Linked DNA regions of Mus musculus: all the other regions are reported to be linked to region 2. Evidence: microRNA targets listed by miRTarBase, many of them from high-throughput screens and not tested one by one. Region 2 holds a microRNA gene; each other region holds the end of a gene's coding sequence.
The links. Region 2 holds the annotated microRNA mmu-miR-3086-5p (UAGAUUGUAGGCCCAUUGGA, at 3,334-3,353, shown strand). A microRNA usually pairs through its seed, bases 2 to 8, with sites in the 3' UTR of a target mRNA and lowers its output. Matches are read on the target gene's strand: a 7mer-m8 pairs with bases 2 to 8, a 7mer-A1 pairs with bases 2 to 7 and ends in A, and an 8mer does both.

Region 1: miRTarBase lists Fmo5 as a target of mmu-miR-3086-5p. Seed matches in the 3' UTR shown: 7mer-m8 at 955-961 and 7mer-A1 at 1,594-1,600.
Region 3: the mRNA of Thsd7a is a reported target of mmu-miR-3086-5p. Seed matches in the 3' UTR shown: 7mer-m8 at 3,360-3,366, 7mer-m8 at 3,390-3,396 and 7mer-m8 at 6,145-6,151.

The regions. Positions count from the first base shown.
Region 1 is chr3:97,650,978-97,658,177 of GRCm38, forward strand. It overlaps Fmo5 (flavin containing monooxygenase 5), which reads left to right. Exons shown (of 9, transcript NM_001161763.1): 9 at 505-4,310. The coding sequence ends at 850. Among named protein-coding and RNA genes, the nearest start is that of Prkab2, 3.6 kb to the right of the region's middle.
Region 2 is chr19:58,907,878-58,915,077 of GRCm38, reverse strand. Mir3086 (microRNA 3086) reads left to right here and starts at 3,319; the gene lies at 3,319-3,405. It also overlaps a transcript of Hspa12a not described here.
Region 3 is chr6:12,311,035-12,318,234 of GRCm38, reverse strand. It overlaps Thsd7a (thrombospondin, type I, domain containing 7A), which reads left to right. Exons shown (of 28, transcript NM_001164805.1): 27 at 34-121; 28 at 784-6,627. The coding sequence ends at 868. Among named protein-coding and RNA genes, the nearest start is that of Gm38583, 120 kb to the left of the region's middle.

The DNA.
Region 1 (7,200 bases), not on the chromosome of region 2:
CTTAACCGCCAGCTGTGCTGTCAGCTGAAAGAGGAGATTACACTAAAATGACGCTCCCCTGCCTTTAGGGGCAAGCGGCGAGCCTTTGACAGCTCTCTTACCAATGGCTCTATTTTCCACCTGTTGACTGGTGAAGTTGTGTGGTGGAGTTGCTGGCTCCTGTGCTCTCATCCTTTGCCCACCCCCCCTCCACCCCCCTGCATGATAACTCCCTCCGAAACCTGCCAGCTGCGATCTCTCTACATTTTCATTTCCCCATCCAACCTGAAATATTTACCTGAAGGCTTATCCATGTCTGGCCTTCTGGAGCAGAGTGTTTATGCATTAGAGTCTGCTGCATCTTAAGGTCCGTAAGGAAGGTGATAAATGTCCTAACTCTTCACAGTCCTTAGCATGATAGCAAACCCCCAGATAGACACTCACAAAGCACCGACTGGCTGATTGGTTGCCTTGCTGTTTGCGTGAATTGCTGATAGCCTGGGACTTCTGTCTTCTTTGCTTTAGGTATGTGGACAGCCAGCGTCATACCATCCAGGGAGACTATATAGACACCATGGAAGAGATTGCAGATTTAGTGGGTGTCAGGCCCAATATCCTGCCTCTGGTCTTCACTGACCCCAGGCTGGCATTACGGTTACTACTGGGGCCCTGTACTCCAGTCCAGTATCGCCTACAGGGCCCTGGAAAGTGGGCTGGAGCCCGGAAAACTATTCTCACCACGGAAGATCGTGTTCGGAAGCCTCTGATGACAAGAGTGGTGGAAAGAGACAGCTCTGGGGGGTCACTGGTGACAGTGCGTGTCCTCATGCTGGCTGTTGCTTTCTTTGCTGTCATCCTGGCTTATTTTTAGATGTGGCAGCGCAGTACTTGAGCTGCCACCGGAAAACGCCATCTAGCCACACCTTCAGAACCTGATGAGACTGAACACAGCTTCATACTGCACAGGAATCAATCACAATCTCTCTCTCTCTCTCTCTCTCTCTCTCTCTCTCTCTCTCTCTCTCTCTCCCTCTCCCTCTCCCTCCCTCACTTTCTCTCTCTCTCTTCTCCCTTCCTCCCCCTCTCTCTCCTCCCTCAATCATTAATCCTTCTTGGTTTTATTTCTGTGATATTGGGTTTTCACTAATTGATTCATCTCCCTCCCTCGTGAGCCTTTTGTCTCTCCCTCTAGTCATTCCCAGACCGTGAGCTCAGGCCCCCTTCATCATCTTTGTATGTCATTAGCAGGGTTCTTTTAATGCTTGACTCTGTTGTGTTTCTAGCACTGCACAGCTAGACCTCGCTGGATGATAACCCATCTTGAAAAGACTGCTTCCATTATCAAGCGCATATTGGCAGCACTTGACCTTATAAGCAGAGCCCACATATCTATTTCAGGAATTCCCACAGAGGGCAGTCCAGAAAGAAGAGCCACTTAGTGCTGAAGACTGGGAGTCCAAAATCCAGGGTGCAGACAGTGAGGCATTCCTGTCTTCATGATTAATACAGTGAGGGTATCACATGGGCAAAACAGAAAATAGCTAAGTTCCGGCATGTGGCACATGCTGAATAAATGCTCGTTGATATGTATGAAATAAGGTGTTATCTCTAAGTCAATCTAATAAATGGCTAACTCTATAGAACTCTTAATGTGATCCATTATCAATTTTAATAACATTAATTTTATAAATTATTTTTATAAATTAACTAGTTATTAATTTTAGTAACTGAATATACCTGTCTTTCAGATGGGTGGTGGGCATTTAAACTCAGGTCCACTTGCCTTCACAGCAAGTGCTCTTATTCACCAAGCCATCTTCCTACCTCCTGCTTTTATATTCTTAAAAAAGAAACTACTGACTGAACATAGTGGCACATACCTGTAATTCCAGAACTTGGGAGTTCCTGGCAAAGGATCACCACAAGTTCAAGGCCAGCCTAGTTCCCAGAGTGAGTTCCAAGCCAGCCAGGTTTGCATAGCAAGAACTTGGCTCAAGCAACAACAAAATATACAAAATCAGAAAAGGATTTGCTCTTCTAAGTTTGAAAGTCTTTTAAATAATTTGCCGTCTTCCAATAGGTTGATTAAAGAACCTGAGGCTTTTAGTTAGCTATCCTGGCTTAATCTTGAAGGGCTAGTGTTAGGATCCAGCTGAGGCAGTAAGCAAGTGCTAGCACTGGAGGTGGGGTCAGCAAGTGTGATTATTCCCTCCCCCTGCCCCGCCCAGCATTGAGGTGGGGTCAGCAAGTGTGAGTCTCCCCCTGCCCAGCTCCCTCCTTCCTTCAGAGTCTACATAATAAGAATCAGTAAGCTCTTCCACGTCTTAAGTTAGAACTAGTATTAGTATTAACTAGGGGCATTCTGCCTAGACCAGTTCTTCCTGTGTGTAGTTCAGAAAGGCAGGAGTGGAACTGAAATGCAAGATTTAAGAAGCATTGGCTGTCAGAAGCACTTGAACTCCCTAAGGATAATTTGACCCGCTGCAGGAATGGCATGAGAATAACACAAATACATGTAAGCAGATACGTGAGAATTCAAACTCCTAATTATACACGGATTTGAACAGCTGCCTAATATTTTACCCAGTGTACTCTCTGTGAACTTGAGCACTGAGCCCTGGTTGGGTTTCTAGGGCCCTTTTCCTTCCGAAATCCTTTAGCAACTGAATGTTTGTCATTATTAAAATGGGTCTGGGATTTTTTTTTAATCTGAAGATTGCTTTCGTTCAAAAATAAACGGAAGCTCTGCATCTTAACTTTTCTTCTTTTACAATGTAAAGGTCCTCTCATTGAGCTTGTAAAGATATTGAAGCACTACACTGCCAAGAATGTAATCTCTACTTATGGGCACTAATACCACAGGCTTCTTTCAAAGCCTGTACTTTTAAGTAGCTTCAACTCTCTCGTTCTGCTTAGAATATGCAAAACTACAAAAGCATCATTGATTTCTAAACCAAGCTGAAGGTAAGGCTAGGATAGGACCTTGAACTTAAAACAACTGAAGATACAAAGAGTAGTTACTGATCGATACTGATCGATGATCGTGTGCTGATTCACCAATTCATGCACTTTGCTCTTCTGGCCATATTAAAAGATTACGTCACTTACCCAACTATGATAAATCTGATGATCCAAAAGATGTATTCTTGCAATGCAAAGAATAAAGAAATGGCCCAAATGGACTGACTAGCTCATGTCAAAGGGGTATAGAAATCATTTCAAAGTGGCCCCAGTGGCCAAATTTGAAATAAATGTCGAGCAATAAATAACCTAGTATTGGATTATAACCTGAAACACAAAGATACCTGAGTCCATGCCATTATAGGTAAATGATTGGAAACATTATCAGAATGGAATAAGTAAAGCCCCCACACAGAATTCTAAATATTTTAGTTCTTGCCCCTCAAGGAAATGAAGCAAAGCTCTCTCAGATGTACTGCATAGATTAACTTCCTTTAGAAATCTAGTGTGGGAAGGGGTGAGGGATAACTGCAGAGGAGAAGTCAGACAGACTACCTCAGTCAGATGCCCACATCAATACAAGCATTGGCAATCACTGGTAGTTGTATGCATGAGATGACCTCTGTGGTGTTTTTCCTTCAGATGATAGCCCAGGCTAGGCAGGAGAAAAGTACCATGCAGGCAGCCTCAGGATGATCTACGAATACCTTACTCCCCTGGAACTGTTGAAGTCATCAAAAGCCAGTCTGAGAGAGAGAGAGCTTCCTAGCATACAGGAGCCTTGAGGAAGTATCCATGGTGAGAATTCAAGAAGAGAAAAAGAGATACTAAGTAAAAATTGAAGAACTAGTAACAATTGTGTACTCTGGGTAAAGAATGATGTGTCAATATTGGTGTTAAACTAATAAATGCACCACCATGACATGTTCTCAGGAGGAAAACAAGCACGCAGAACCTCTCTGTCGTCTTTGCAACTTAAGTCTAAAACCGGTGCACAAGATTTTTGTTTGTTTGAGTTGTTTTAAGTTCAGAGTTTGACCTGAATTACAGTGTACTAAAAACTTCTCAGACGAATGTTGGATAGTCGAAGATGGCTCGCTCTTGCAGAGGACCTGGGTTTGGTTCCCAGAATCCATATAGTGCGTCACAACTGTCTGTAACTCCACTTCTAGGGTATCTGTCTCCCTCTTCTGGCCATCGTGAGCACTGCATGTGTGTGGTGCACATGCATGCATGCAACAGCACTCTTTAACAGATAAAATAAATATTTTTTTAAAAAAAGAATATAGGCTGGGACCATTTGTTTAAATGACTGTTTCTTCAATTGTGCTCAGATTACATCGCTCTAATAAACCATAATATAACTTACGACAACAGTTTTGTTTCCTGTGATAGATAAGCATAAATTACAATTGGGGGCTTTGGTGGTATAAGGTTAAGACTTCTTGAAATCACTTAGATAAGTTGCTCCTGAAGGCTGAGCACATTAAACCAGTAGTCCCCAGCAGGAAGATGGACATGATGGACAGGTTATACCTAAGCAAGGTAATTGTATTTACTATTAGTCTGTCTTGCCTAACAGCATGGTGGAAACAAACCCACTCCAGACTTTTGACCTGGAACTCCCAAGGCATCATGCACTTTTCTCTGCTGTAGTGTTTTTAATAAATTCCCACTTTCCAGTTGAATAATGCCCACGAGTCTTCAAGATCCAGCTCCTCTCCTATCCCCCCACCCCCACCCTCCCAAGAACAGCTTCCTGACCCCAATGTGACCTCTGTACTCTCCTCTCATCTGGTAGATTCTGGTAGATTCGATTCCTCAGTCACTTTTTTTTCCCCAGACAGGTTTTTTTCTGTGTAGCCTGGCTGTCCTGGAACTCACTCTGAAGACTCAGAGATCCACTTGTCGCTGCCTCTTGGAGTGCTGGGATTAAAGACATGTACCAACCAGCGCCCAGCCCTCACTCGCATTTGATGGATGTCCTTATCACATGACACAAAGACAGATTCCTTTGCCTCATCGCTCTCTGAGTTAGTAACTAAGACAGATGCCTTGCAATTAATCTGTATTCCCAGTGCCCAGTGTAGTGCCTGGAGCATGGTGGGGCCTCAGTACATTGATGATAATTAATTGAATGAACATACTTAACAAGAGAGGTAAAAAGCATGAATACGTTTTTAAAGGATTAAATTGAATAGTGAACATCACTCTCCTAAAAGGAGATTAAAGAGTGCTTAGTAATAGCGCTTAGAACCAACTTGGTGGCCGACTGTTTTTGCAGAAAACTTTCCCGAGTAGACCACTGATGTGAATCTGAGGGCTAAAGCACTGTATGGTTTGAAACAGGTGTTGGTATACAACGTATTTCTTCAATCAAGCAGGTTTTAAAAAGTCAAGATCTTAAAACAGAAAACAGGACTTATCTCCTCCTCGATTCTCACCATGCACGAACGCCTGCTGCTGTGTCTTCTTGCTTCTCCAGCTCTCCAGCCCCTCTGAAGCACCCACTACCTCTCCTGGCTGTAGCTATTTATAGACCCGTTTATTCCCCTTCACTCAGTGAAGACCTTAGCACCTAACTCAATGCTGTGTCTATAGACACAGTCATTCCTGAAGGTGATGTTAATATCTATGCAATTAGTACTCCATCAATCCAATGGATTAATTAAGTAGGATGAGGTTCAGCTATATTTAATAGAAAAGTGATAGTCAACAGTGGTCTAACAAGACTGATATTTCTTTCCCCTTCATATAAAAAGTCTAAAATATATCATTTATGAGATGATTCCATAGCTGCATGGTTCCTTTTCCATTCTTTTCTTTTTGTGGGGGAGATGGGTGAGACAGGGTCTCACTATGTAGTTCTGGCTGTCCTGAAACTGGTTCTGTAGAGCAGGCTGACCTTGAACTCACAGAGATCTGCCTGCCTCTGCCTCTCAAGTCCTGGGATTAAAGATGTGCCACCATGCCCGGCTCAGTTCCCTTTTTTTATTCCACTGCTTTTAACTACCTCGTGATCTGAAGTGGCTGCTGGAGCTCTGGCCATTCTATGGACACCCTATACACAAAGAAAGAGAAACGGAGAAATTCTACTTACCATTTCCCCCTATCTATCTATTAGGGAGGCTAAGAAATGCATCTCTGTGGAGACAGACAACATCCTAAGGTTAGAGTCAGTGCTTCAGTAAAGAGGAAGGAAATCAATGTTAAGGTAGACCTCCAACTCTCTTTGCTACCTCACTGTTCCTTTTGAGTAATTACTTTCATTGTTTAAAATGTTAATCTATGTTTGAGTGTTTTGCCTACATGTTTGTATGTGCACCTGAAGGTGTTGTAGCGCCTGGAACAGATGATTATGAGCCACCTTGTAGGTGCTGGGACCAAACCCGGGTCCTCTAAAAGAACAGTAAGGGCTCTTAACCACTGAACCATCTCATCAGGGTTTATGACTTCTAATGGCTTTATGGTCGGCCTCATCTCACCGATCTACACACTTGTCTAAGATTCTGCCAGTGCTAATGACTGCAAGACCACTGAAACCTCAGTGGCAGACACGCTACTCTCACAGGACACCTCTCACTGTCTCAGCTCACTCAGTCTCTCCTGTGTCCAGAGTTCTTTGACCCCACTGGGCCCTCCATCAGCCTATTTTATCTTCACTTCCAGCCGACTGGTTTCAAAACGCTAGTCCAATAGTATATTCCCAGCCTACCTGTGCTCTCACTCATTAGCTGTTTGCATTAATCCACACAGCTAATCACAGTAACAGAAAACACCGCTTTGATGAGTTTGGGCATCACATAGAAGTAAGTCTTCTGCAGTAACTGCCATCACGTGTCTAGTCAATTCTCTGTCCTACTTTTTATTTCATGCCTCCTGGGACAACTAAAAAGGTTGCTTGGTAGAGGCGTACGCGGAATATGAAAATGTGGATCCACTATGCACCGCTGTCCAGTCGTTTGAGGTGATCCTGTTAAAAGTGCAGATTCTAATTCTGTACCTAGGGCACGGGGAGGCCTCGGATTCGGCTTTTCTAATAACCGCGTGCCCCATGGATAGACAAACTGCTTAGGAAGACAAGACGCCCCACTATCAAGCCCTGGGCGGACAGTTCACAGCCCTAATCCCGACCCGGACCCCACCCTCGGCCCCGCCCCAAGCCGGAGCTGCGCACGCACCCACCACAGAGGCGGTGCTGGTGGCTAGAGAGGCAGGCGACCCAGGCTGAGGAGGGGGCGGGGCTGGAGCGCAGGGGGC
Region 2 (7,200 bases):
CCTCTGTTGATTTTTTGAGGGGATGTTCAGATGCTTGGGGTTCACTCTCCAACCTTTCCTTGAGCTTTAACATCCAGGATGCCCTTTGATTTCTGACAGTTGTTGGGGGTAAAATGGATGCACTGGGGCTCAGGCTGGGGCTGGGGCTGGGGCTGGGGCAGGGGCAGGAGCAGGGGCTGGGTTGGAGCTGGAGCCGGGGCAGGGGTTGGGGCAGGAGCAGGGGCTGGGTTGGAGCTGGAGCTGGGGCAGGGGCAGGGGCAGGGGCAGGGGCAGGGGTTGGGCTGGGGCTGGGGCAGGAGCAGGGGCTGGGTTGGAGCTGAGGCAGGGTTGGAGCTGGGGCAGGGGTTGGGACAGGAGCAGGGGCTGAGGCTGGGCCTGGGCTGGGCCTGGGCCAGGGGTTGGGGTTCAGAAGGTAAAGCCAGCTGGTGAGCAAGAGTAGGGCTGAGGGTTCAGATCGTTGGAACTCAGGCACATGCTGGGGAGGTGGGTGTAGCAGCTTTCCTTAAGTCTAGTCTCAGAAGGCAAAGATTGGATTTCTTGAGCAAGCTGGCGAGTAGACTAGCCATATTGGAGAGGTCTGGGTCTGGTGGAGAGACCCCCATCTCAATGGATAAGGTAGAATAATGATCAAGGATGACTCCCAATGTCAACCTGAGTCTCCCCAAGTACACACAAAAGAATGGGAAAAGGGAAGCAAACAAAACAAAACTACCACCTCCTGAGCTTTCCGGGTGCAGGATGACTGTTTAACATGTGAAAGCCTTACCCTGGCGTTTTGTAAAACTCTGTGGGAAATTAATCTTTGAAAAGTAAAACACCCCATATTTTCTTCTCTTAAAAAAAAAAAAAAAAAAAGGAAAATTAATCTGGACGCCTGTGCTTCCTGTGTGTTTATACTGAGCCTATTCAGGTAGAGTGAAGCCGTCATGAGGACGTTTGTTCTTGCTCAAAGGAGCCCAGCATTAGACCAGAAATGGGATGCGTTGAAATCAATTTAGTGTCAACCACATCAGCCTTCCCAGAATTGTAGGTTTTGCAGAACCTGAAAATGGAGCTTGTTTATTTGGTCAAATTTAACTGCGAATCATAGGCTTCTGCAACAGAGAGAAAAAGTCAAAACAGATTGCAGGCGGGTCGCGTCCTCGGCGGCATGCTTGTCTTCTGCCTCGCATCTCGCCCAGCCCCGCATAGGCAGTTGAGTGTGGGAGATTGTAAGGGTGCTGTCTTTGGATGCCACCTTTGCTGTTTGCATTTAGAAAGACTGTTGATGAGAGCTTCCTTTCGGATGGAGAAAATACTGACACGGATCAGAGACCTGTAAGGTGGCAGCGTCATGGAGCCCAGAGAACCCAGGGTCACCAACGAGACTTGCTCTGAAATTGCCCCATTTTCTCCGGCTGAGAGAGAATCTATCTGGGAGACAGAGCGCAAGGCACCTCAGGGTAACTGTTGGCATCCAAATGAAAAAAGGAGAGAATTCGGAATGTTCCCAGGTACCTATGAGCACTGGAGGCTTTTCATAAAGCCAGAAAGAGTCCCCACATAAGGGTTGCCAGGGCTTCATGCCAAGCTGAGACTGTGTTCCCTGGACTCAGTGGGGCTTTGGCACTGACTGAGACAGAAGAGCCCACTACACCTAATCCATTTGTGATGGTTTGGCGACAGCCTTGGTGACGGTGACGGTGAAGTCTCTGAGTTGTCCCACAAGTCTAGGAAAGCAGCTGGCTGTCAGCTCTCAGAACTGGGGTGAGTGGGTAGGAAGGCTGAGGCCACCACAGAAAGCTTTTGTCTCTCTCTCTCTCTTAAGGCCACCTCGTCACTGGGGAAAATGCACTTGGCTAGCACTGAAGCCAGGGCCAGCTTTCCTGTGTGTCATTTTCTGGGAGAAGCAGGTTTCTATTTAATCCCTCCCTATGGTGGGTGTGTGGAAGGAGCTGTATCAGGAAGCAGAGTTCCTAACGGACACCCCAGAGGGAACCGAACCAGAGCAATGAAAGATCTTCCCATGCCATTGTTGTATCTCCCAGGAGATGTAGATCCCAAGTAGCATGTGGTTCAGGTTCTAGGACGTCCTCACGTCTTTCTGAAAGGAAGGAGAGAACTCATCTGCAAGCTGGTTCTGGGACCGTGCTCCAGGCAAGCATTCAGACCACCATGCCACTCCCTTGTGAAACTTGCAGTCCATTGTCAGGACACAGGAAAGCACAAGTGTTCACATAGGTGCAGAGCCAGGGTGGGCCAGGGGCTCAGTCTCACTCTCAGGACAGTGTGAGCATTTCTCACAGCCGAGAGACTGATGTGTTCTGTGTCAGAGGCCTCTTGTTCCTCTCCCTTTAAATCAAACCTTGTAAGGGCGGAGGAACAAAGTGTGTGTGTGTGTGCATGTATGCATGTATGTGTGTGCGCGTGCGTGTGTGTGTGTGTGTCTGCTCACATCACCCAGCTGGATGTGGAAAGGTAGAATCTGAATCCATACCTCTTGCCTTCTATGGGATATTTAATATTCAAGCTAATTCTCAAAGCTACTGTCCAGTGGATTAAATTGACAGAAACTGATTTTTGGGGACCACTCCAGACTGGAAGGTGAGCTGAGAGCTGAGTATTTGGCTCCAGTGTGTTTGCATTGGGGGGCAGTGAGGCACAGAGATGACCCCTGCCTGAGTTTTGCCTGTCAAGTCCATATTCAGTAGTGGAAGATGCCTTTGAACCTAGGAGGGTAAAGCGAGCTTCTCGGCCAGGCTGTAGGAGGAGGCAAGCAGACTCCCTATGATGGCACGGGCTCAGTGAGTTCCAGCAATGACCATCTGGCCAGCTAGCTATGTCTCTCCCCCCTGATCATGGCCTAGGTGGAAGAGCTTAGTCCTGGATGAGGCCGTCTAAGCAGGAACTCAAGCGGAAGGAAATGGCTGTCTGGGTCAAGGTCAGTTCATAGGAGGATTAGATTTTATTCAAAGACAATAGTATGAGACACAATATGGCTTTAATTCCAGTTCAAAGAGACAGCCCAATTTTTGAGTTTCAGCGTAATAGATGCTGTCTTGAAGCTGGGCAGGACCTCCCACCTTCCAAGTGTGACAGCTAGCTGTCCCTCTGGTCCTCTCAGAAGCTGCCACTAAAACCAGTTCCTAGCCGGAGCTGAAGGATTCCATTTGTTACAGGGAATATTAGTTAATTTTCTATTGCTGTGATAAAACACCTTTGACTCAGAGCCATGCGTTTACCACAGTTGGCCTCTTAGGTTCTGGGAGAGAGCTGCATGCCTGTCCAGTCATAACACATAGTTGAGAACCTGAGGCGCCTGAGTGCCTGAGTCTTGGACTGCCATCCTACACTTAGATTGTAGGCCCATTGGAAGGGTTAGCGTCTTGACCCCAATGAGCCTACAGTCTAAGTGTGGGATGGCGGAAGCCCTCAGCCAGACTGGTAGAAGTAGGGACTCCCACAGAGATGTTTTGCAAAAAGACATAAATGGCTCCATAGAGAAAGCTGGGGCTCCGCCTGGTGGCCGGCTGCAGACAAACAGTTCTGTCAGCCGAGGTTGGGAACAGGAAAAGCATTCCCCTCTGGTGGGTTTCACTTCGGTGGGATTTCCTGGGAGGAACTCTAGAAGAATCACCAAGAGCAGACACATCCTGGGAAAATGAAATAAAAACGTCTTCATGGCGAAGGCCCTGAGTACTTACCACTGCTAATCATCTTTAAGGGGGAGGGCATGAATGGACAGATTGACACTTTTCTGGTGGCCAAATACGATTCTGCTGAAGCTGTACAGGGCGACTACCCCTTCAGTTGCTTCCGGATCCTGCTCGTCCTCCGAGGAGAGGGTGGGCTGGACTGAGTGTCTTAGTTCTTGGGGACTGGATGCCTTGTCTCCAAATCTCTGCCCTTTAGCTTAGCTAGGACATTGCAAAATCGACCATAGGGGTGGGGATTCATTTCCTGCCCTGTGTTAAGTGAGGCTTTCGTTGGGGGTGGGGGTGGGGGGAGGAAGCAGCTTTGTAAGCCCGGGCAGTCAGTCTTGCGCCCCCTGTGTTTGTCTACATTGAGGCGCTTGTGCTGGTGAAGGTGAGGGACATGGAGAGTGGGGATGTGTGTGTGGCATCCAGGGCAGCAAGAGGCCAAGTGTGGGAACGGAGAGGTAGCTGTGAAGCCTGCTCTACCTCACTCCACGGGGTTAGTCATTTATCTCAGGGCTATTTTTAGAGCCATAATCTGAATTACGTTTCTTACGTTTTAATTATTAAAGAGTTATTACTAATTATGATCTTGATAATAACCGACCTTTACTGAGTTCTGAGTAAGCACCTAGGACTTCAGATGCCCTACAAGCTGTATTTGTAAAGCCTGATCTTGAGTTGTGTATAAATTCTTTGATTTGCATAACAACAGGCACTATGACTTCCAGTGTAAACATAACCTTTTGCCACAGAAAACCACAGTATTATTTATTTCATATTTCCCTTTGAATTCTGTCTTCTTCCCAAATACAGTTTAAAAGGAAGCCATATTTCACTGCTATAAGTGGAAAACTAGCAGTACCTGTCTTTAGTAAGCAGAATCTATTGTTTAACTTTAATTAAATAGCCATGTGCCCAAAATACCATTGGAACTCAGCGTTTGAGCTGCCTGCAATGTGGGTGGGTGGACCTTCCACACCAGAAACCCTGCAAGGAAAAAGGAAGCCATTTTGCATTTTGTGAAGGTCTCTACCTGGAGAACTTTTGCATTTATTTTGCTTTATTCAAATTCTGAGGTGGATGCTTAACTTTGTAAATATTTAGCTTTTCTTTTTTTCCTTTTCCTTTCTTCTCTTCTCTTCTCTTTTCTTCTTCTCCGTCTTCTTCTTTCTTTCTTTCTTTCTTTCTTTCTTTCTTTCTTTCTTTCTTTCTTTCTTTTTTTTTGCCCAGGCTGTCCTTGAAGTCATGGTATAGCATAGGATAACCTTAAAGTCCTGATCCTTCAGCCTTCATCTCCTGAGTCTAGGGTTACAGGTGTGTGTCACTGCCCACTACTCTTGGATTTCTTTAAACACACACACACACACACACACATATAAACACACACACATATACACATAAGCACACATACACAGGCAGGCATATACACATATTCACATACATGGGCACACAAACACATACATACACATATACACACAGCAACATACACACAAGCACTCATGTATACACACACAGAAACACGTGTACACATGTACACACATACACACACATATATACACATATACATACAAACACACACATGCACACATAAATACACATACAAACACGTACATATCACATACAAATACACACATACACACAAAACCACACATATACACACATATTCATACACAAACCCATACATATTCACACATGCACACACGGAAACATATACACATACATGCATACACATATACACACACACAAGCACACACATACACCAGCACACACACTCTCTCCACTGCTCTGGCTTCTTGTAGACTTTAATATGAAGATATGAGGTATTTATTTTTTCAGTATTGCTTAATTCTTCTCGTTTATGTTGAAATGCAAATACTCAGAGTCCACCTTGTTCCCAGGCATTCTGTCACATGCGGGCACAAGCTTTTTTTTTTTTTTTTTTTTTTGGTTTTTCAAGACAGGGTTTCTCTGTGTAGTCCTGGCTGTCCTGGAACTCACTCTGTAGACCAGGCTGACCTTGAACTCAGAAATCCGCCTGCCTCGGCCTCCCAAGTGCTGGGATTAAAGGTATGCACCACCACTGCCCGGCCCCCCACAAACATCTTGATACACATGTGTTGTTCTCCTTTCTGTCTGGCAGTCTTCCTGAAGACTTGCAGAGAAAAGCCTTCAGAAGGTGGCGTTTCTTTTCTGTCTGATCTCGGTTAAAGTGTCCTCTGTGTCTGATGCTCAGCAGCTTCAGTAGGATAGGCCAAGTGTGGATTTCGTTCTTCACCTTGTATTTTTGGGCCTAGGGCTTGATAGCTTTGGTAACTTCTAGAAGGTTTCTAGCCACATCTCTGCCATGCCATTTCCCCTGGTCTACACACCCTTGCTTCCTGACATCCCCTCACATCTTGCAGTTTTATTCTTTAATGGTCAGTTCATTTGCACAGTTTTTCCAAATACCGATTCTCTTATCTGAGGTCTGTCTGACCATCACACTTTTCAGTTCTGGCAGCAATCAGTTCCTTCTTCTCCATTCTCATATAGCCAATGCTACCCTCTCTATGTAGACAAGGCTGCCATTTAAGTCCCGACCTTCCTGCCTCTACCTCCTGCATGGGATGGCTAGCCGTCTTGGTTTTGTTTTTTTTTTAAATATGTCTGGACTCTTGACAATTTCTTGTTTCCTGAACATATATCCAAACTTGCTTTGAGGTGAACACAATTTATAATCCACAACTGTTAATTCCACAGGAGAGTGGGTTACCACCCCCACCCCTCATTATATCAGATGTATCTTTGTCCCAGGAAGAGAAAGTGCAGCAGGCTTCCACAGCTGCTTCCTCCCCCTGCTGTCCTGTCTCCCCCGAAAATCCTGAAATGAGCAGAGCTTCCCAGCAAGTCCAGGGTAGGCTGGGATTCAGGTGTGTTTAGTGTGTTTGGTGTTCCAGACAAGGAGAAGGAGGAATTTGGTGTTGCAGGATATCTGATCACACCATGAACCCTGAGATTATGTTATTTACTGTAAAAAATCTGTTTCTAGTTACGGTGCGGTTCAGTCCTTAGCACCCACGCCTTTAATCCAAGTGGTCAACCGTTTATTGTGAACAGGCTTAAATAAAGTCAACCATCGGTCAAAAGGCAGAGCAAGCAACCAGTTGACAGGAAGTGAGCATAGGAAAAAAAAAACATACAGACTAAGAGGAAGTCAGGAGGTCAGACAGAGACACTCACAGGAAGTTGGAGGGCGGAACATTTGATTTGAGAGATTTTTCAAGACAGGTATGTGAGAAGAGGACTTTTGAGAATGTGTCCGCTGTGGAGGAAGGTCGGCTGGGTGCTCTCTCTGCCTCTCTGAGCTAGCAGGCGTTCACCCCAGCATCTGGGTCCCGAGTCTTTATTGGCAAAACTGAACCTTTGAGATTTTGTTAAAAAAATGTTGGTTACTAAGCATCTAGCTGAAAAAGGGACAAGGGTCCTCAAGCTCCCAGGGCACCTGACAGACTCTTAGGAACTGGTGATGCCTTGGAAGGAACTG
Region 3 (7,200 bases), not on the chromosome of region 2:
CTAATGTAAACTAATAATGCCTTTTCTTCTCAGATGGAAGATTAAAGACCTGGGTTTATGGTGTCGCAGCCGGGGCATTTGTGCTGTTAGTCTTCATTGTCTCCATGATTTATCTAGCGTGGTGAGTGTTTAAATATTTCAGAATCTAAAGGGAGATGTAAGATAGTTACTTACAAGAAAATTCTCTCAGTTGCCAGTAACACAGAAACAAAGTAGTGTGTGACACACATGTGTTACATATACTCCATCTTAACACAAAGTTCTCAATTTACAAAATAAACTTTAATATTAGAAAGCCTAAATCTACTACCATATCTAAGTCAGTCGGATTATGGAAGTAAGTCAGGACTGTTCTGGGTCAATTTTTTCAAGATTTTTCTCATGAAGAAATGCCATGGAATGTTGCTTTCATTGATGGCATATTAAAGCCATAAACTTTTTCTTAGAGAAAAATGTTATAATTCTTAATCTTATTTCACTGTATTTGTAAATGTGTATTATTTATAAAAGTTCTGAGACAAACCCAAAATATAATATAACATCACTTCGATTGTATCAACTAAGAAATTGGATAATTTGGCTTTTATAAAATAGTTAAGTATCTTAAGACATCTTGGAACTGTGAAACTGAAAGAGACCATTAGGTCATATTCTAAAAGGCACTGGGAAGTGTAGGTGGACAATTTAGATCTACTATTTTGTTTTGCTTTTTTATTTAAAACAATAATATTTAAAACGAAAGATTGACCTTTTTTTTTTCAATTTTTTCTAAATTTCTTACAGCAAAAAGCCAAAGAAACCCCAAAGACGGCAGAACAACCGCCTCAAACCTTTAACCTTAGCATACGATGGAGACGCTGATATGTAACATTGACTTTTCCTGGACACAACCAGACTTGGCCTTTTCCCTTTATAGTAGACATCCAGAGGCCAGAGTGCCAGTATTCAAATGTGTGAGTTATAATTAACTTTAACTGTTATGAACACCATCATTAAGAAAAAGGAGAAAATCCTACTCCCTCTAGGAATATTCAAGACAATAGCACTGAAACGTAGAGTCAGCTCTGAGAATTCTAAGAGATGCAGTGAAGTGCATGCTGTGTCCTGAGAGTTTTGTGGCATCTTTTCTGAAATCTACCCAATTTTTTCAAAAAGAAAAAACAAAAACCCACTTTGATCTCTAAAACATAGTGAGGAGATTGGCCAACTGGGAAGCCAGATGCAAGACTGCTTGCAGCACTAACCCACCGAACTTTTTAGCATGAAGAGTTCATACTGAAGGCTTTACAATTCTACACTTAACCATGCCAACGTGTATACTCGATCAAATGACTTACATGATGTCACCTTATATACTTGTTAATAAGCAACTTTTAACAGTGAAGAAGATGTAAGGCCTATGCCAAGTGGAAAATCCATTGAACAACTTAGCGTCTTCATGGTTGATGGTAGCATTGATTGGCCTGCATTTTAGAGACAAACTCTTTTATAAGACTTTACCCTTGTCTCTCTCTAATGTGTGAATGCTGGACATGTACTAGCCTTAGAAGAAGGGGTCCTCAAGTTCGGTATTTTATAGTGGTTATTGTCTGGGAAACAAATATGCTAGTGTTAATACCTTTCTACTTTCCCTAATTTCACACTGGTTGCCTACATCTTTTTTGCTATATGGAAGGCACATTTTGCACTATATTAGTGCAGCAAGATAGGCACTTAACCAGTGTTGCCATAGAAACTGCCTCTTTTCATATGGGATGATGAAGACATCTGTGCCAAGAGTGCTGTGGAGACATTTGCAAGCTTTTGTCCACTGAAGAGAATTAGTTCAGTCTTGATGGTAACAGGATCAAATCTACTATTACACCTGCTGTCTACACTCTTCCTTCTTGCTATAGTCATCATGAAATTGACGATATGGCAATAATTCAAGTGTTGAAGTCCCTAAACCCAACCCAAACCTCCAAAATGTAGAACCCCTTGGTTGGGTTGCAGTTGCTCTTGGAAGGCTGTTTATGACAAGATTTATATATTTGTTATCTTTGTTTTTAAAAAAAGAAGAAGAAGAAGAAAAGCAAAGAAAAAAGGACTGGTTGTCTTCATAATTTTGAGTAGATAGAGAAAATAGTGTATCAATGATTTTTCTAACAAAAAGAAATCAAAATTATTTGTTAGCTTTCCTGTCTTCCTGATTTGTTTTTCAGTCTTACAGGCTGTATTTCATAGTCATGGTCTTTTGCCCTTTTCATGGTTGAAATCTGAATTAGCGTGATTTATTAAGATATAAAATTTAAGAAGAGAAGGATAAATAATCTTGTCCAGGGCTTGCTTAAACATCTAGAGCAAGGGGCATAAGCCTTTAAAGCAAAAGAGCAAACAGGAAATGTTTTCAGTCAGGTCTTTAGTTCAGCTCAGAACACTGGCACTGTGTGGTGCTTCCGGAGAAGTCAGCTGGGTGACACCATTTTCTGACAGAACTTTCCTCCCACGAGAAGCCAGCCAGCCACATTTGCGTGTCTCAGTTTCCTGAGCTGCCTTCTATGGCTTTATGCCTTATGTGGCTTTAGAGCTAGCCCTACATTATATTATCATTAGCTTCCAGTCAATTACTCTCTGTCTATCAAGTGTGCTTAATTTCACAGGTGTCAATTCATAGTCATTAACTTATGATTGTTGGGAAATCAACTCTGTGTTCACTGGTGAAACACAGGAAATGCCACCACGGAATATAGCTCACCTCTTTCTTGTGAAAAAGAAAGCTAACCTGTGTCATGAAAAAGCACTCACATACTTCTGTCACTAACAGAAATGCTACAGTTAGCCTCTGATAGAATGGGGACCCTTTTGCTTTTCAGTTTTTTAAACACGGTAAACACATGACTTTTATTTATTTCATTTTATTGTTTTATTTTTTATCTGAAACATGTCTGTATGGCTGGAACTGTGGTTTTGTTGATGAGGTGTTTTGCCTTTACCAGCTGTGTTTGAGCTCCCTCTGCTGTCCATTAGAACAGCTTTTTCTGCCCAGATTAGAAACGAATTCTGAATAAGAGGATGTTGTCATCTCCCAACTGAAAAATCTTTATATATAATTCAATATGAACACAATGTGGTGAATGCTTCTTACTCATGCCAGATATAATGCACTAAATGATTACGTCATTTCAAAGAGAGTGGATAGCCAAGAATTTAACTAAGGGAAAGCATTAAAGAGGAAGGAAAAATAATATTGATATTCTGAAACTGTAATAGTACACACACACACACACACACACACACACACACACAATCACTCTTCCAAATAATCTTTGAGTTGAGCTCTTTGAATAAAATAAGCTCAGTCTGTCCAAAATAGTTAAATCACAATCTCTGTGGGTAGCTGAAAAATTTTAACAATCTGATGAAGTGTGGGCAAAACTTAGCAATCTTGAGATAGGAAATAAAATAGGATATTTTTTCTTACCCCAAACTACACTTAAGGTATTTGATAAAATGTGATTAATTATAAAAAAAATTAATGTTCTCCTACTTAGGATATGGTAACCAAATCAATTAAAAATCAAAAATTAAAAAATGTTGTGAAGGTGGAAAATGTTTATGAAAAACTAATTATATTTAAATACTATATTCATGTTGGATAAACACTTTTGATATTCATCATTAGGATAAATTAATACTGTGTGGCCTATTGTTAGAAAGGTGGGGAAAAGAATGTATTCATTTGGATAATTAGGACAAATGGGAGGTTATTGTTTTCACGTACAGATTCCTTTATTGATTTCCCCAGAACTTTATTCTCAGAAGGGAAATGCTGGAAACCTGTTTGATGTCCCTTTTCCTTTCCAAATCTGTGTGTGAGCAGGAAGAAAAGAAGGAGGCAGGGAGTGAGGGAAAGGAGAGAGACAAGGAACAAATGGATGAAGGAAGGAAGAAAGGAAGGAAGAAAGAAAGGAAGGAAGGAAGATGTCCTACTTGATTTGAAAAAGAATGAATGAAAGCAGACGTTTATAGAATTTTGTTGGATTGTCCCAGGAAAAGTAGCATGGCTGATCTCCCTGGAAAGCAACCGATTTGCCTGTACATCAGTGTCCATCCAATATGCTGACTATAAGAAGCTCTATTTCGAAACCTACATTCTTTTGAATGTAGCTTAAGCTAATTGAAAAAGGAGTATGTTAAAGCATGTCTTTTAACTATGTAATAAAGCACAGATCACTTATAAAAAGGCATATTTATTACATTTTACATGTAAGACACTTTTCAGGGCACTTAAAATAGTAACGGCTTTTGTATACACAGGTCACTAAGACATCCAAAAGAAAAGAAGCATGCTTCATGAGAGCTCCTCGCACTGGTACACATCACTATAGATTCTTTATAAGTGTGCTTAGAACTTTTCCACAGGGACTCTAAGTGTCAGGATATGCTATGAAGAGTAGCAATGCTTACTGTGGCTTAATAAGAACTGTTAGGTTCCTGAATATTTCAAGATAAAGCCATTGCTTATAAAGGAAGAGAGCAGCTTTTCCCACACATTGGTTCACCTCCTCCAGCTTACTGTATCCTTGGTCCTGGGTGACACTTTTCTCTGCCTAGCCTCTCAAATTCTATTCTGATTGTTTATAGCCTTGTCTGCCTTGCTCCAAACCACCTTTCTCTAAACATGCTCAAAAATTTAGAAGGCAAAGTGCAGTATAATTATTAACTCATAATATTATGTTATTATGGTCTAGTCAGACAATAAACCTGAAAATATCTAAATCAAGCAACCTTGCCAATGGCAAAACCCTACTTTAACTACTGTAACTGGCTATAAGTCTTATCGTTCTGTTTTGTAGTTGTTTAGCTGGCTTTTCTTTCTATGGGTAATAATTTGTGTTTTATCAAATTCTGAGCCTCAGTAAGCTTGCTGGCTACTTTTCTATCATTTGTTTGTGTTTATTTTTAAAAGTAAACATTTTGACTCTCTTTCTGGTACTTTTTCCTACCCATTTTTCTTCACAGATTTGAGGAAATCAGGTTCTATCACTGTAAACTATAATTATTCCTATTGAAATAAAACTATCAGTTATAATGTAACTATTTTTATTTAAATGGGATACACTTGTCAAAGTAATGACTAAAGAATAAAAAAAGTCATGCACATGACATGTCAAAGGAAGACTAAAACTAAAATCCTTGCTATGAAAATGTCAAATCTTAAACTTACATTGTTAATAGCCAATATCCTCTTATTCCCCTACTTTCTTTCTTTTTTGTTTTTTCTTCTTTTACTATTTTTTCTCTTTTTTTAAACTCCAGAGTTTATTCCCCTCCGGGTCCACCCTCCAACTGTTCCACGTCCCATGCCTCCTCCCCGCCCTCCTGTGCCCCCTCCCTGCCCCTGCTTACATATCAGCACAAAAGCCTGTATCTATCACTAGTGAGCAGAAAGGAGAATCTATTTCTAGGGAGACTTAGAGTCAGAATAGATTTGCAAAATCATGCATGCCAAATGTCCTGGAATCTTGTTGTTTGTAAGTGTCTCCTAGTTCAAATGTCCTTTGTCCAGTTCCCCTTGTAGGACTAAGGAGGAGGCAGACCAGGAGCCCCTCAACAAGTCTGTAAGAACTCCTGCAGAACATACCTGAGCCCTCTGAGTCTCTTTGGGCTTGAGAACGGAATCTCCCTGTTCCTTATGTGATAATCCCCCACCCCACCCCCGGTCCTTCCTTAAGATGTTCTGGCTAATGTACACAAGGAGGTGTGGATCCAGCAAGTGGTTTCTTCTTTGTTTTATTATTGTTTGCTTGCTTGCTTGGGTATTTTTTTTAATCAACAAGATATTTTGCAGTGTGATGAAAATCGTTCTTTTTAAGAGAGACAGTGGGAAGTGGTTATCTACAAGATTAAATGAAAAAAATGTTAAATAATGTTAAATTTGCATTTTTTTTTATTCTGCTCTGTCAAGAAAGATCATAAACCTGGAAATGTCTGAAGCAAGCAACCTTGCCTGTCGGCAAAAACCTACTTTCCTTACACTGTAAATGGCTATAAGTTTTATTGTTTTGTTTTGTAGTTGTTTTGGGTTCCTTTTCTTTCTATAGGTAATAATTTATATTTTATCTAAATTTAAGCCTCAATAAGGTCTCTGGATATTTTTTTTTTACAATCTGTTTGTGTTTATTTTTTTTAATTAAACACTTCGATTTGCTTTCTGGTACTTTTTCCTCCCATTTTTATTCACAGAAATTTGAAGATATCAGTATGTACAATTGTAAAATTTAATTTTATCAAATTTATAATCTATTATTCTTTACATTATATTGCTCTAAGTGAGTACTTTTATTAATTTATCTTCCTGAATATTTATTTTGTTGGAGTAAGGAGCTAGCTATCTGTGAATCTTTTGTTAATATTACTTTGTAAATTGTGTAATGTAATTTATTTTAAATTATGCATACTTCTTTTTTAATGCACAAAATATCTATGTACGAGGGACTGCAGATTGGCAAATACTGTCACTAAGCTTATGCAGCTAATGTGGATGGCGTGTGGAGATGTAATGTGCTTTTCTACATTTTCATATGGGTTATTTGTAAATATCTATATTGCTGACAGACATAAATCCAGAAGTCATTTTCATTCTAACTGTGTGTGGCTCTGTGCTTTATTTGTAACACTTACTTCTTGCACATGGATAAAAACACTTACTTGGTGAGTATCCACATCCTACCTTTCATGATTATATTTTTGTTTACTGTTTGCAATTCCAATACAGAAAGTCTGGGAAGTTCAGATTTCTCTTTAAACTTCAGCTGTTGAGCCAGCTGCGACCAGATGACTGCCATGGTCCCTAGTCCTCTTTGTATTTGGTCAGTTAACAGGGCACTGGCAGAGAATGGGTAATCAGGACAGCTCTTCTTCCTTCACAGCCTAAGCCTGTGTCTGTCCATAGAAAACAAACCTAAGAGGCTGGCTCCACGTTCTGTGTGCTGCATACTTCCTATATAGCTCACTTGCTTTTCTGACGTGCTCACTCTGGAGCATAGTACTACACAGGCTATTAAAACCCACTATTCTCAGATGCTCCACCCCTTACCACCTTTCCCTAGAACTCTTCACTAAAGTGAAGCAGCTCCTTGCTTCCTGCAGGTCTCCAGTCATACACCACCTCTTCTGAGAAGTTTGCCATAACTGTAATCTCTCTACCCTCACACTTTC